Linked DNA regions of Caenorhabditis elegans. The protein of the gene in region 2 purifies or fractionates together with the protein of the main gene of each other region. This does not show direct contact. Each region holds a gene or a part of one and is shown on either strand. Other genes may lie near its edges.

The links. The genes of interacting proteins can lie anywhere in the genome.
Region 1: the proteins of hmp-1 (region 2) and magi-1 purify together in Caenorhabditis elegans (affinity purification with mass spectrometry, with the first as the bait; one study listed by BioGRID). This does not show direct contact.

The regions. Positions count from the first base shown.
Region 1 is NC_003282.8:11,713,083-11,718,059, forward strand, and holds the start of magi-1 (Guanylate kinase), read left to right. Parts: upstream 1-1,956; 5' UTR 1,957-2,007; coding exon 2,008-2,026; intron 2,027-2,073; coding exon 2,074-2,138; intron 2,139-2,314; coding exon 2,315-2,381; intron 2,382-2,901; coding exon 2,902-3,139; intron 3,140-3,184; coding exon 3,185-3,381; intron 3,382-3,442; exon of another isoform or gene 3,443-3,619; intron 3,620-3,777; coding exon 3,778-3,897; intron 3,898-4,136; exon of another isoform or gene 4,137-4,281; intron 4,282-4,977.
Region 2 is NC_003283.11:11,844,228-11,851,928, reverse strand, and holds the start of hmp-1 (Vinculin), read right to left. Parts: upstream 6,053-7,701; 5' UTR 6,052-6,052; coding exon 5,668-6,051; intron 5,624-5,667; coding exon 5,168-5,623; intron 5,122-5,167; coding exon 4,918-5,121; intron 4,846-4,917; exon of another isoform or gene 4,623-4,845; intron 4,523-4,622; coding exon 3,992-4,522; intron 3,890-3,991; coding exon 3,062-3,889; intron 2,579-3,061; coding exon 2,438-2,578; coding exon of another isoform or gene 2,390-2,437; exon of another isoform or gene 2,141-2,389; coding exon of another isoform or gene 2,033-2,140; exon of another isoform or gene 1,149-2,032; coding exon 1,048-1,148; intron 307-1,047; coding exon 159-306; 3' UTR 1-158. UniProt on the Caenorhabditis elegans protein: Required for cell migration during body enclosure and cell shape changes during body elongation. Required for proper localization of other junctional components, such as pac-1.

The DNA of each region.
Region 1 (4,977 bases), on a different chromosome or scaffold from region 2:
AATAATGGTATTTAAAAATGTGAGGAAACTAGGGAGTTAAGAGCATCCAAGGGATCAACGTTTTTACATTGGACCAAAGTATCTGCAAAAGCGCGCGGCAAATCATGTAGGCACAAAGGTAGGCATTTGTGTGTTTTCATGAATATTGAGAATTCAGTAAATAATGTGATCTACCTACATAAAGGTTCCTATAGGAGTTCTCTGTAGAGAACTTCAACTATATTTTGGAAGCATGATTTTCCCTGTTTCGCCTTTGTCTCTTCTCAGCATCAATCAAATTTTTGCATTTCTCAGGATTAATGTGTGTCTTTTTCGTTGTGTTCTCGTAACTACGAATCTCCAGCTGATTCCCTCGAGTACAAATTGCAAACAGCCGTCCCCTTCTTCTACTTCTTGTCCTTCATTTTTGTTTCTAAAGTCGCTGTCATCACTGTGATTCTGTGGTGACTGCTGCAGCACAACATGCCAGATGCGTGGCAGATGTTGAAAACTTTCGGAAGTTTGTGTAGAAATCGGAGAAGAAGAAGAAGAACTTGACGAATTATATGAGCCTGACCAGCGCTGTCGTCTCGGTGCGTTTACCATTAGTATGTTACAAAATTGACCTGTCTCCCTTTCTTTTTCTATCCGCAGAGGATTTAACGCTTTATGAGAAAACCGTTCACCATATTATCGGCGAGAAGCAAAAGTGCGTGCCGTAACGGCAAAGTGTATGTTTGTTCTCCAAATATCACATTCAGCTTTTTTGCGCCTCGCAAGAAAATGCTCTAGGCTTGCCGACGGTCAACTCGAACCTTCTGGACCAAATTGAAAATTTTCCGACTGTCCTGAAACTATAGCTCCTAATAGTTGTATTTTATTTTTAAATTCAAAAATTTTCCAACATTAAGAAAGAAGGGAATCGAGTTTCCCAGGTGCAATGACTCACGGCTTTTCGAACGAAAGTGGGATTTTTGACGAATTTCAAATTTTCGAAAGTGGCAAGTATTTTCGCTAAAGTAATGTTATTCTTTTCAAAATATTGTCTAAATTTTCTAATTTATTACTAGAAAGTTTTAAAGTGCTACAGTAATCATGACTCTAAAATTATTAAGTTAACATGTATATTTCAATTTTATCTAATTCATTATAAATATGTATTGAAAACTTACTTATATTATTTAGTTGAATTTTTATTAGAAACACCAGTTTTTACTAAAAAATAGAGTTTAAATATTTTTCATGTCTCTTTTAGTAACAAAATTTATTGAGTGATACCCGTAGAAAACAACAGGTGTGACCGCACTAAAATATATACAACACACTACATTTCCCGCAATTCATGTAGGCCAAATGGTGGTGGGTACACTGCACGCGTGTTAGAGTTGCCCCTCGGTTTAGTCGATCGATAAACAGTATTGCATCCCTGCTAGTCTTCCACATACCTCTTTAAGACACTACATGGAACAATTCAATTTTTTTTCGCTTTTTTCATTTTTTTCTTTTATCAATAATATCTTCGAACTTCCAAAACATTACACGATTTGTTTTGTTTCTGTTCAAATTGAGTTCAAAATAGGGCGCGCGAAATTTTTTTAGTCGAAGACTTCATTTTTCGGTTTTTCTTGCTCGTTTTGCGCTATACTTTTCAATACATTTTGCGCAAATATCTTGTTGTCACCTGACAGTGCTAAACTTTCTGAAAAATCTGCGCGCACTTCTTCTTATTTATTCTTCTTCCAATTTCCAATCTCTGACTCATTATTAATTTGTCATTTCGACAGCGCCTTATTCATATTCACACTGCACTCTTTCTCATCTTTTGCTTGTCCCTTGCTCTCCTTCGGGTTCTCTTGAGGTCGCCGACACACAAACGGTTGTTTCGTAATAAATATTTATTTGTTTTCGCAAAATTTATGCGGTCCCCTTTCTCATGGGCCATTCCGAACTTTGAAGATAGTAATTCATTTTCGTTGCAGAGAAGACATTCCAACTCGACATTCTCTTAATGAACCCACGACTAAAAAGATGACCGACAAAACAGCTGGTGAGATTGAGAGTTTAGTCCATAAACATCAAGATTATTAATTTCAGAACTTTGCCTGAAAATTGGAGATGAAGAAAAGGATGATTTCACATTGGAAATTGAAAAGCTTCAGGTTTGTTTTGATTTGTTTCATGTCTAACGGCTCCACCCCAAAATAAAACTCATTTCAAAACCACTTCCCATTGTTTATTCGCAAGAAAAAAGGATTAGTGAAGTAGTGGAAGGCTCTTCCCAACCACTTGTTCGTCGTCCTTCTGAATTCCTCCCCTCACTATCCCAAGTTTTCAGGCCACTCTTCAAGAAATGCTCGATTGCACGAGCAGCCCAAGCACTTCACTAGATTCCACTGACAAACGTGAGTTATTCAATCATTTATGACCTTCAAGAAAGATATTGAGTTTAACGAAGAAGTTTAAAGTTTGAATATTCCATGCATTTCAAAGTTCAGTTTACAGTGAAATATAAAACAGAGCTTTTAGTTATTGTGTGGTTGAAAAGTTTTTAATTCTTTAGTGAGTTTTTTTTTCAAACATAGATAGATATAATACAATATGCTCCCTATTAGTATTACACCTACATTTCTATACTCTGAGATTTCATATTTCGATTATTTCTAAAGATAAAAATGTAACCTAAATTTTACTAGTTGAATACTTTCACTGTCAAAAGAAACACAGTAGGAGCACACGTTAATACCTAATTTTTTAATATTCATCAAGACTGTCTTAAAATTTTTTTTTGTTTGGGTTCCGAATAAAAATTTAACAACTAAAGCAAAAAAAATCATTGTAAGTCAAGAAAGATCATTTTTGAAAAAAAAACCAAAAATCAGGAAATAGCCAAAAAAAGACTGAAAATAATTTTTAATATTCTAGTGCCATCCGGACTTGCTGCTCGTCGACTGATCCGTATTGCCAGTGAACATCATCATATTTCCACGACATCTTCTTGCCATTCGGACTCTGGAAACTCTTCATCTCGAGACGTCATCACCCCGTTTACAGTACATGGCGGAGCCTCAATTGGACGACTCATTCTGATTGATATTGTGCGACGTGATGATTTAATTGGAATTGTTCATCCTAACGATATTCTTTTAACAATTGAGAACATGTAGGTTTTCTAGAACATTTCTTTTTTTATTATTTAAATTTTCAGAAAAGTATCAGGAATGGTAAGATCTGAAGTGAATAGGATATTGGAAGATATGATGAGAGAACATGATCAAATTGCGATTGAAATTCTACCAGCTGGAGCAATTACCGATGATATTTGTGAACTACTGGCCGATAGAAAATCATCTGGTGAACTTCAGACTATCATTCGAGAAAATTTATATCAGAAGACAGTTCCTTGTGAGTTACAAAAAAAGTTGATCTGAAACTAACTAGATTGGATTTAATACTTATAAGTTTCATTCCTCAAAACCTCATTGTTTTCAATGGCACTAGCAGCTGCCCACAGGGAGTATCATTGAGATGAAATAGTGTGTGATCTAGAGAAACCTAGACATCCGCCCCATTAAATTAGGTGATTTAGGATCTAGGGGATCATCACAAGGTGGGGGAGGGTCCGAAGCTGGCCACCAGTGGAAGTGTTAAAATGTTCGGTTCGCCTTTACCAAAACATTCACTAAAACCTGCATTTCTTTCCAAACGAACATCTCTTCCTGTTATTGATCTAAAAGATTATTATGGAGGGACAAGTATTGAAGTTAAAACAAATTTCAATTTCAAAGTGACCATTTTCAGACACAACTCGACCTCCACGAGAAGGTGAAGTTGATGGAGAACACTATCGATTTGTGTCTGTAGATGATTTTAATAAGCTTCTCGACAGTGGTGACTTGCTCGAAAATGGTACATATCAAGGTAACCTCTTTTCTCCATGTTCAACTATTTTACGCTTATTATCATAAAAGAAAACCGCTGCTTCACGGTTTTACTTGCTCGCGAATCTCCGTAAAATCCAGCCACCTGGTAGCCTTTTTCGGCACCTGTCTTAAGAATTTCTTATTTCTTATTTCCACCGCTTCAATAGCTCCATCTGTCTTTGTCTGCGATCTCTTATATCCCCTATTACCTTCTCATCACACTCACTTACCTGTTTTCTACCTCACAGTCCTCGTCTACCCTCTTACGCAATCTTGGTATGTCCTCAAATGGAGGACTGTACCCTCTACGTCTCCTGCTTCATAACACTATTTCGTGACAAAACACAGTCCCATTCCGCTCATTTTGCATCTTTCTCCTTCCGTTGTCCCTCTCTCTTTCTCTCTTACCTGACACAATGGTTCATTCACCTCTCTCACCAAAATTGGAGTGGATTACATTCTTTGCATGTGTAAAAAGTGCACCCTAAAATTTGAAAATTCTTTCTCAACGGATCTGCCTTCCCAGATCATTTTTCATCCATATGTCCGCCTTGAGAAAATGCATATATCATGCTCACTTGTCATCGGAGCCCACCAATATCCATGTGACAAGTAGCAGTAAACTTGACTATTGTTTTTGGCTCCTCTTCATTCCATTTCGGAAAGAGAAGACTTGGTGATGCCCCCACAGATTCGATTCAATTTCGTTAATTCAATCTCATAGTGGCTTCTTCCATTCTTTTCTGTTTCGTTTCTATTCTTCTTCTTACTTTTTCGCATCCTTCTTATTCTCGCCCTACACTTTCTCTGCTTAATCCCTGTTTGAACTAAATTCTCGGAGAAGACAAGGAGTTAGCAGCAAAAGTTGAATCCTGAAGTTTTTTTTTCGTTTTTTTTCTTTACTGGTGTCGTTGCCTGCCTATTTGCGTCCTTGTCAAAACAATGCCATTTTTCGGTCAAGTACCCTGAACCAGTACTAGTTTTGACAGTAAGTCCGAAAATGGAAGTTGAAAGGGCATAATGATGATGAGGATTGTTATTGAAATAGAGATGCAAAACTGGCGTTTTGACATTCAGG
Region 2 (7,701 bases):
AAACAGAAATGAATACAAAAAATACACAGATACAAATTTCTAGCTGAAGAGAATTGAAAGAATGAGAAAATAATAAAGACTCGGGCATATAAAGGATGTGTGGAAAGATTTGGAAGGGAAAAGTATGAAGATACATGAATAAAACTGAAATAAATTATCTATAAACGACCGTTTATTCTTTGTTGATGCCGGCGATCAAGTTCCTCGTCGTCACTATCACGACCCGTCTCAATCTCGTTACGCGTAAACTCGGCGAGCACTTTAGCTGGTTGCAAAGGTCGCCGTTCGGATGCCCGTCTGCAAACTCTTTATAACATTAGTCGGCGTTCGTTGAATACATCTTTTGAAAGGGGGATTCTAATTAATTTTCTGTAATGGAATAGATAATGATCAAGAATTAGTGATCACCTATCACGGGAACACCAACTTCTGAGTATGCGTATTGCACAACATATTTTTGACGAGCAAAATATCTCGTAGCGAAAACTACAGTAATTATTGTAATGACTACTGTAGCGCTTGTGTCGATTTACGGGGTGCATCTCAAAATCGTAAAATTTAGTTTAATAGGTTTAAAAAATGTCTGAAATCTTATCAAAAATTTTTTCAGGGGGGGAAAATTTTCTGAAAGAAAAGAAAAATTGTGTTTTTTGATGCTTTAAAACTTTCATTTCAATGTCCGAAATCATCCAACTATTCATCACTTTTTATGAACATTGTCGCTTTTTTTTTGCTTTCCGAAAACTCAATTTGCATTTATGATCCTCAAGGGATACACTTTTGCTCAACAAGTCAAGAATATACATTTTGGTGTCGCAGCTCTTTCGGCTTTCACCACTTTTACCACAAAAAAAGGGACTTGGGACTACTGACAATGGCAGCTACGTGCCATTTTCTGGTGGCAGTGCTATTTTTTATGAATTATTCAGGGACCGACTACTTTTTTTCACATGGCTTCTCAATGAAGTGTGTCATATGTCCTTTTGCAGGCAAAGGAAACACTTATAGAGGGATCCTTGATTCAAAAAAAATAGATGAAAACGTTACCTGATTATAGCATTATTCTTTTGTGGTCGAATTAGTGGTTGTTTCTTTGGTGGAGCCATTCGCCACTCGACACGTACACTGTTGGCATTAGGACGACGGAACTGCAAGAATAAGGATGAGTTTCAGGAAGTTATCAGCAAAGAATTCCAAGCATTCGAGCAATTTAAGAAAATGAAACCAACAGCAAACAACATCGAGACACTTTTCATCAACAATAACACATATTTTACGTTCGTATCAATTTCTTTCAAGTTTTTTTTTCAACTTAATCTTCTTTTCTTAGTTAAAGTTGCAATACAATCTAGTTTAAAATGTATGAGTTTTTTACGGGGGAGTATAAGATCACAAGACCGACATATTGGGGGATCGATGTCCACACATCAAGACCGATACAATGCATTTTTAGAAAGTTAAATGTTTTTTTGTTGGGAAAACGATTTTTAAGTGTGAAGGGAAAATAAGAAAGGGATGTCCTTACCAATTTGAATTAACATATTTAACTGGAATTGTTTTCTTTTTTTTGGAATATAATGAAAATTAATTTGTATTTTCTAGGATTCAGGAAATCTATAAAAATCTGAGATTTTGCTTTTAATTTTTGGCTAAATTCCATGTTTGAATTCGCACCAAACTGAGAGAATTCAAATAGGGAATCGCCAAAAATTGAAAAATCTGATTTTCGAAAATTCGACATTTCATTCTTTCTCTTTTTTGGGTATTTCTGAGAATCAAACTATTCTGGATTTTTTTAAAGCAAAATCCCTACTCCATTAAAAAAAAATCGTCAAACATTAATAGTCTTAACCACTGATTTGAACTCAAGACATAAGCTTTTTTTAACTATAAAAAATATTTACCATTAAATTACGCAGCAGCCAACGTAAATTTTGAGAAAAAAGCAAAAAATTAAATTCGACATGCTCAATATCTCTTTTTCTCAAAAACAACATCGATAAAACCACACAACACGATATTTAATGCTTTCTCATTTTTTCTCACCAGATTCATCCATCGGACTTTCATAATTAATAGCTTTGTGAGCATCGCTAAGCGCAACGGCTGATTCGACTCGAGCACGTTCGCGTTGTGCACACTATTGAGAATGTTTTTTTTTTTTTTTAATTTTATTTATTTAATTTTCTAAAACTTTTGGGTACACTTTCTAAAATCTCAAAATTCAGTGTACAAAAGGCAACTGGTCTATTGGCACTTTAAACCACGTGTCTACTCAAAAGAGTGGGCGAAATACCATCTGATTTGAAATGAATTACGTAAGCAGCCGTTATCGTCTGTACGAAAAAAGAAATGTGTGATAAATGCTGGAAAGCAATAGTATCAGACATCAAGTGGGAATAATAATTAATGTTTTGTTTAAAGAAAGGGAACCAACCTTGGTACTGGCAATGTATGCAGCTTTAACAGTCTGTACAACAGCAGTTAAAAGATTTCGAGCCGTTTGAATAAGAGACATTGCAGAGTCAAGTGCAGATACGACAAGCTCATTTCCAACTTGAGTCACATCAGCTTTCACCTGAAATATTACTTTCTATTAAAAGTTTAAAGTTATATTTCACATGGTTTTTTGAAAGCAATTTAAACAAAACTTATTTATAGTAAGTATATGAACAATTTTCTAGTATAAGTGAGGCCAATCACAATTTTTTTTTCATTTTTCATGGCTTCAGTCTAGAGCTTGGTTCGCAAAAAAAACGCGAAGTAAAATTATATCTCTACTGAAATCGTTAAAAACAGTTGAAACCTCTTTTGGTGAAATATCACACTATCTATAAGTTTTTTTTTTTAATTCTCAATTTTTTCAAAAACTTTTCAGATAATTCTGAAAAATACGAGATTCTTTTCAGTTTTAGTTTTTATAGACGCGTTTTTAATTGTGAATCTTTACAATTTTCTTGAAAAACTAATTTGACAAATTTAAAAAACCCCCGAAACAAACAATTGACCAAAAACATTTGGTACGCTTTTACAGCTCGTGGCACCAATTAAAAAAACTCACCTTACTACAAATATTCAGTTGCTGACAATATAGAGTGATTTGTGACAAATATGCGAGCAAATCCTTTTTCGTCTGCGAATCAGCACTTTCTTCTCCAATCTGCCGTGCCAATGCATTTAGTTTTGATCCATTAAGTGAGATTTCTTGTGCTGCTCGGATAACATCCATTGTCGTTTTCAATGGCCCACAACCTCTTGTGAATTCTGTCATACTCATCATAATCTTACACATATTATTGGCCAATGATATAATATCATTTCCTGTTTCATCCCACTTGGCAACTTCTCTTTCGAATCGTGTTTGTGTTACTTTGAAGATATCAATTTGTGCTTGAATTTTCTTTTTCTCTTCTTCTGGCAATCGTCTCATCAGATTCTGTTGATTTTCTTGTTCGGATATCGTACGATTAGCATCTGCATTTGCTGCACCAACACCATCAGCTTCATACTCTACATCCGAATCAACATCATTCATACTTCGGTTCATTAAAAGTGCATGTCGAATGTCTTTAACTGCATCGTGAACTAATGTACAAGCATTGATAAATTCATTCATTTCTTCTTCCTTTGTTTTTGGATCCCATGTAAGTCCGTGTGCTTCTTGACGGTTGGCTAAAGCGCTCGCACGCTCAGCGAATTGATCTACACGTTGAGTTTTCAAAATCCGAACAGCTTGCTTAACAGTTTCAGTGTATTCAGAGTTCTGAAGGAAGTCCATTTCAGCATCGACAACGTCACAGACTCGGAGAGCTCGTCCACGTATCGATCCGGCAGCACAGTCGACAGTTTCACAGTTGGCCGCATTTTCATCCGGTGTTGAAGCGTTTGCCTGGAAAATTCAGTTTGAACGTCTCAAAAGTTGACGAATTTAGCGAAAACTATTTTTGTTAATTTTCATTAAATTTAAAATTTTGAGAACTAAAATACTTACCGTGATACCTTTGATTCCCCGCTCACAGTCTTCAACAATATGTGCTTCACTGACAGCCAAAAAGTCGTCCAAAGTAGTGATATTGTCAAGAGCAGTCGTTAACAATCTCACTTTGTCAAACCAAGCATTTTTATAGGTTTCCATGTTCTCTTGAGCAGTTTTTGAAGTAGGTTGATGGCAAAGTAAGATGGCAGCTTGAGCAACTTGTGGAGCAAGTTTTTCAAGTTGAGCAGCCGTATGCTGAATGACACTAACACTTTCAACATCTGATGAAAGTTGACAAGAAAGACGAGCAACTGAAACAATTTCATTTGCATGCTCTTGGAACATCTTTGAACGATATCTTGTATTCTCTTCATGGCCTTCTTTAGCAGCTTCTATCAGTAAAATAAGCGGTGTACGGGTATCCAGGAAAGCATCACTTATATGATCTACAATTGCACGACGAAGGTGTCGCCGGAGATCTTTTGTTCTTTTGTGTACTTCTGCGATTCCAAGAGGAATATCATCATTATCATCTCTTCGGCCGGTCTGAAAAATTACAGATTTAAAACATAGTTAAACAGGTCGTAATAAGCTTTAAATTTTATTGTAAAAACTTTGTAGTCTCTATATTTTCTACTACTACAAATTTTTTAAAGAATTTCCCCGAAATTCTAAAAAAAACATTTTCCATGTCTGAACTCGCGGTGGTCATTTTTTTTTCTAAAAAACGGCTTTAGTTCGAGTTCGGTTAACAAACAAAAACAGTTGTTCTCGCCCTGAGGGACAAGGCGTCACACTTGAAAGAACGCACGATTGTTTGTTTGTTTGTTCTCACCGTCTCCATCGCCCTTTTGTGAAAAAGATGCGCTTCTTTGAATGTTTTTTATTTCTTTTTATTTTAAACGAGGCAACAAGTCAAGAGATCAATAGAAAAAACTTACAGATTTTTCATATTCGGTCAAAAGTTCTTGAAGAGCTTGCCGCAAATTATTGCATTCAGCAACAATTTTTTGTTTTCGATTTTCACGAGTGCTTTCAGCATCGGCAATTGAAGCAGAACCACTAACAATTCGTTCACAATGTCCTTCAAGATCTGGACGATCAGTTCCTCGACGATAATGGGCTGGATCAATTTCGATTCGATTCTTAAAATAAATTATTTGTCTTATTATTTGAAATTTTTAAACTCACTTGAAAAGTATCGATTTCATTGATAAGATCGCCTATTCTTCCATATTCAGAAAATGTTACTTTCGGTTGTTGTCCGTTTAAAACAGATTCAAGAGCATTTAAAGCAGAATGCATTTCATCTGCAGTGTAATCACGATTTCTTCGAGCTTCTTCATGTTCTGGATGTCTTACAAATGTTCGTGTTGAAGTATACAGAAGTGGTGCAGTCTGTCGAAGTGCTGATCTTGCTGCTAGAAGATCATCTCTCTGATTTGGTTTAACCAAATCAATGGCTCGTCGTCGAACAGTGATATCAAGTTCTTCGATTTGAGAAATGAGAAGATTGTACAAATCATCTACTTTGATTTTTGTATCCGCTTCAATCATTTGGTGTGCAGTTTCTCGAACTTCATCTACTTTATCAACTATCACTTTTACATCAATCGAGTCGGCAAGAATTAGGAATTTAGCGACAGCCTGAATACAACATTTTTCAGTTAAAAGAGTACCTAAAAACTTACAGTCAACAAATTTCTACCAGAATTCGTTGCAATAGCTCGTTTGTTTGTTGAAGTTGAATCTCTGACAAAATCTCTTCCAGTTTGAATCATCACTTGCCCAGTATCTTGAACTGCTCCAAGAGCTTCGTGCAATAAATCAATTGCGCGTGGATCACTGTTTGCAATTGGGCATTTCGAAATTGCAAAGCTTCCCGTTTGAAGAAAATTAGCAACGGCAGCATCAAGAGTGGCGACAAGTCCTTCAGTAGTTTGTCCAGGTTTTAACGGAAACGTTTCAGTGATGTTGGTCACTTCATTGATTAATTGAGTAATTTGTTTCAAAACATTTTTCGAGCGCACTTCGTCGATGTTGAAATACGCATGAGAATTGCCATTCGCAGGCATTCTGAAAATTAATAAAATTGAAAATTCAGATTAGAATGCAAATAAAACGAAGAGAAATAATATTTATATTGAGATGAAATCAAAAAATATAAAAAGAAATACATAACCTTACATTAAAGTATCGATTAGAACTACTGTTAGATTTGAAGGCGCACGATAAAGAAGGGGTGGTTGGTCTCAAAGAGATCCAAGAGGGTACTGTCACCGTTAAACTTTATTGGCAAACACAGAATTTACTTATTCTTTGAGAAAATGACTCATATAAAATAAAAATCTTTACTCTAACTTTTCAAAAATTAAAAATTAAATTTTCAATGAAAAAAATAAAAAATCCTTTCGCAAAATAGCGAGAAACAAGTGTGGTGGGGCCTGTGAGGCCTTTCGGGTGTTTACTCAACGAAAAAACAAAACAATTAATAGGGGATTATGTTTCACATGCCGGCAATTTAGGAAATAACTATTTTTTAAATAAAATTTAAGAAAAAAACAAATTCGAAAATTAAAATTTCGACCGAAAATGAAGAAACTTAGTTTTTATTTGCCATGTTGAATATATGTTTCACACTCAAAAATTTTCAAATAAAAAAGTTGCGAAGCCAAAAAGTCACAAAAAGCAAACTTTTGAGGTATTTGCGAGTGAGAAGTGAATATGGTGAAAACGATGATTCCGCACCATCAACCGGTGTACGAAGACACTGTTAAATATAGAGAGAAAGAAGACACATAAAGAAATGATGATTCAGTCGGGTTGGCCGGTCGGTCAGTCAGCGGGTGACGAGTGAGCGGAGAGAAGGGTATAAGAACGGACGAGCGGCGGGAATAGAGGACGAAGAGGCAAGGACACTGGTCAATGGAGATGAAGAGACACAGACATTGGGACGGACGGAAGCAGGACGGTTCCCTTCGGGATGAGCAGAGACTCGACAGATGGAGAAGATGACCGAATTGAGTTTGTTTGCCCGACTCCCATGGATTATAAAATTGGGTACGTATGGCCTATGTTGGGGCAACTGCAGCAGCAGCGTGTGAGTGTGCGCCCCGGAAATAAAGGACTTTTATGGAAGGAGTATTGAGAAGATGATGGAAAAGGGACAAAAAGTTTCCCTTTTGTTTTGACGTCTTCTACGTCTTATTCGGAGATTTCGAGGGATAATTCTGAGGGATATGGAAGGACAGTGAATTGATGCATCATCATCATATTCTTATATTGGGTATTGAAATTTAAATTTGAATACGACCGAAACAATTTCTCGTTTCAAAAAAGTGGAATCTGAGTCATAGAGAAGTCTGAATCACGTTTTGTACACGGCAGCAGCTGTTTGTAAACTTTGAATCGCGGGGGTGAACTGAAGTGAAAAAAAAGAAAAAAAACTAGGAAAAATCAGGGAAAGTACATTTTTGAGATTGCATTTTTCTGAGAACCTGAACTTTCTCAGATGATATCAACAACATTATTAATCACTGCAACACGATCTGTGCTATTGTAAAAATATGTTCAATAATAATTTGATTTAGAGTCTATTTTGTCCCAATTTTAAGAGGTTTCTCCTGTCTAAACTTTCATAGACAATTTACGGAAATCTAGTAACTGTTGCCGGCTTATTGAACTTTTTCACTGGAGTTACTAAGATACTTATAGAATTTTTACGA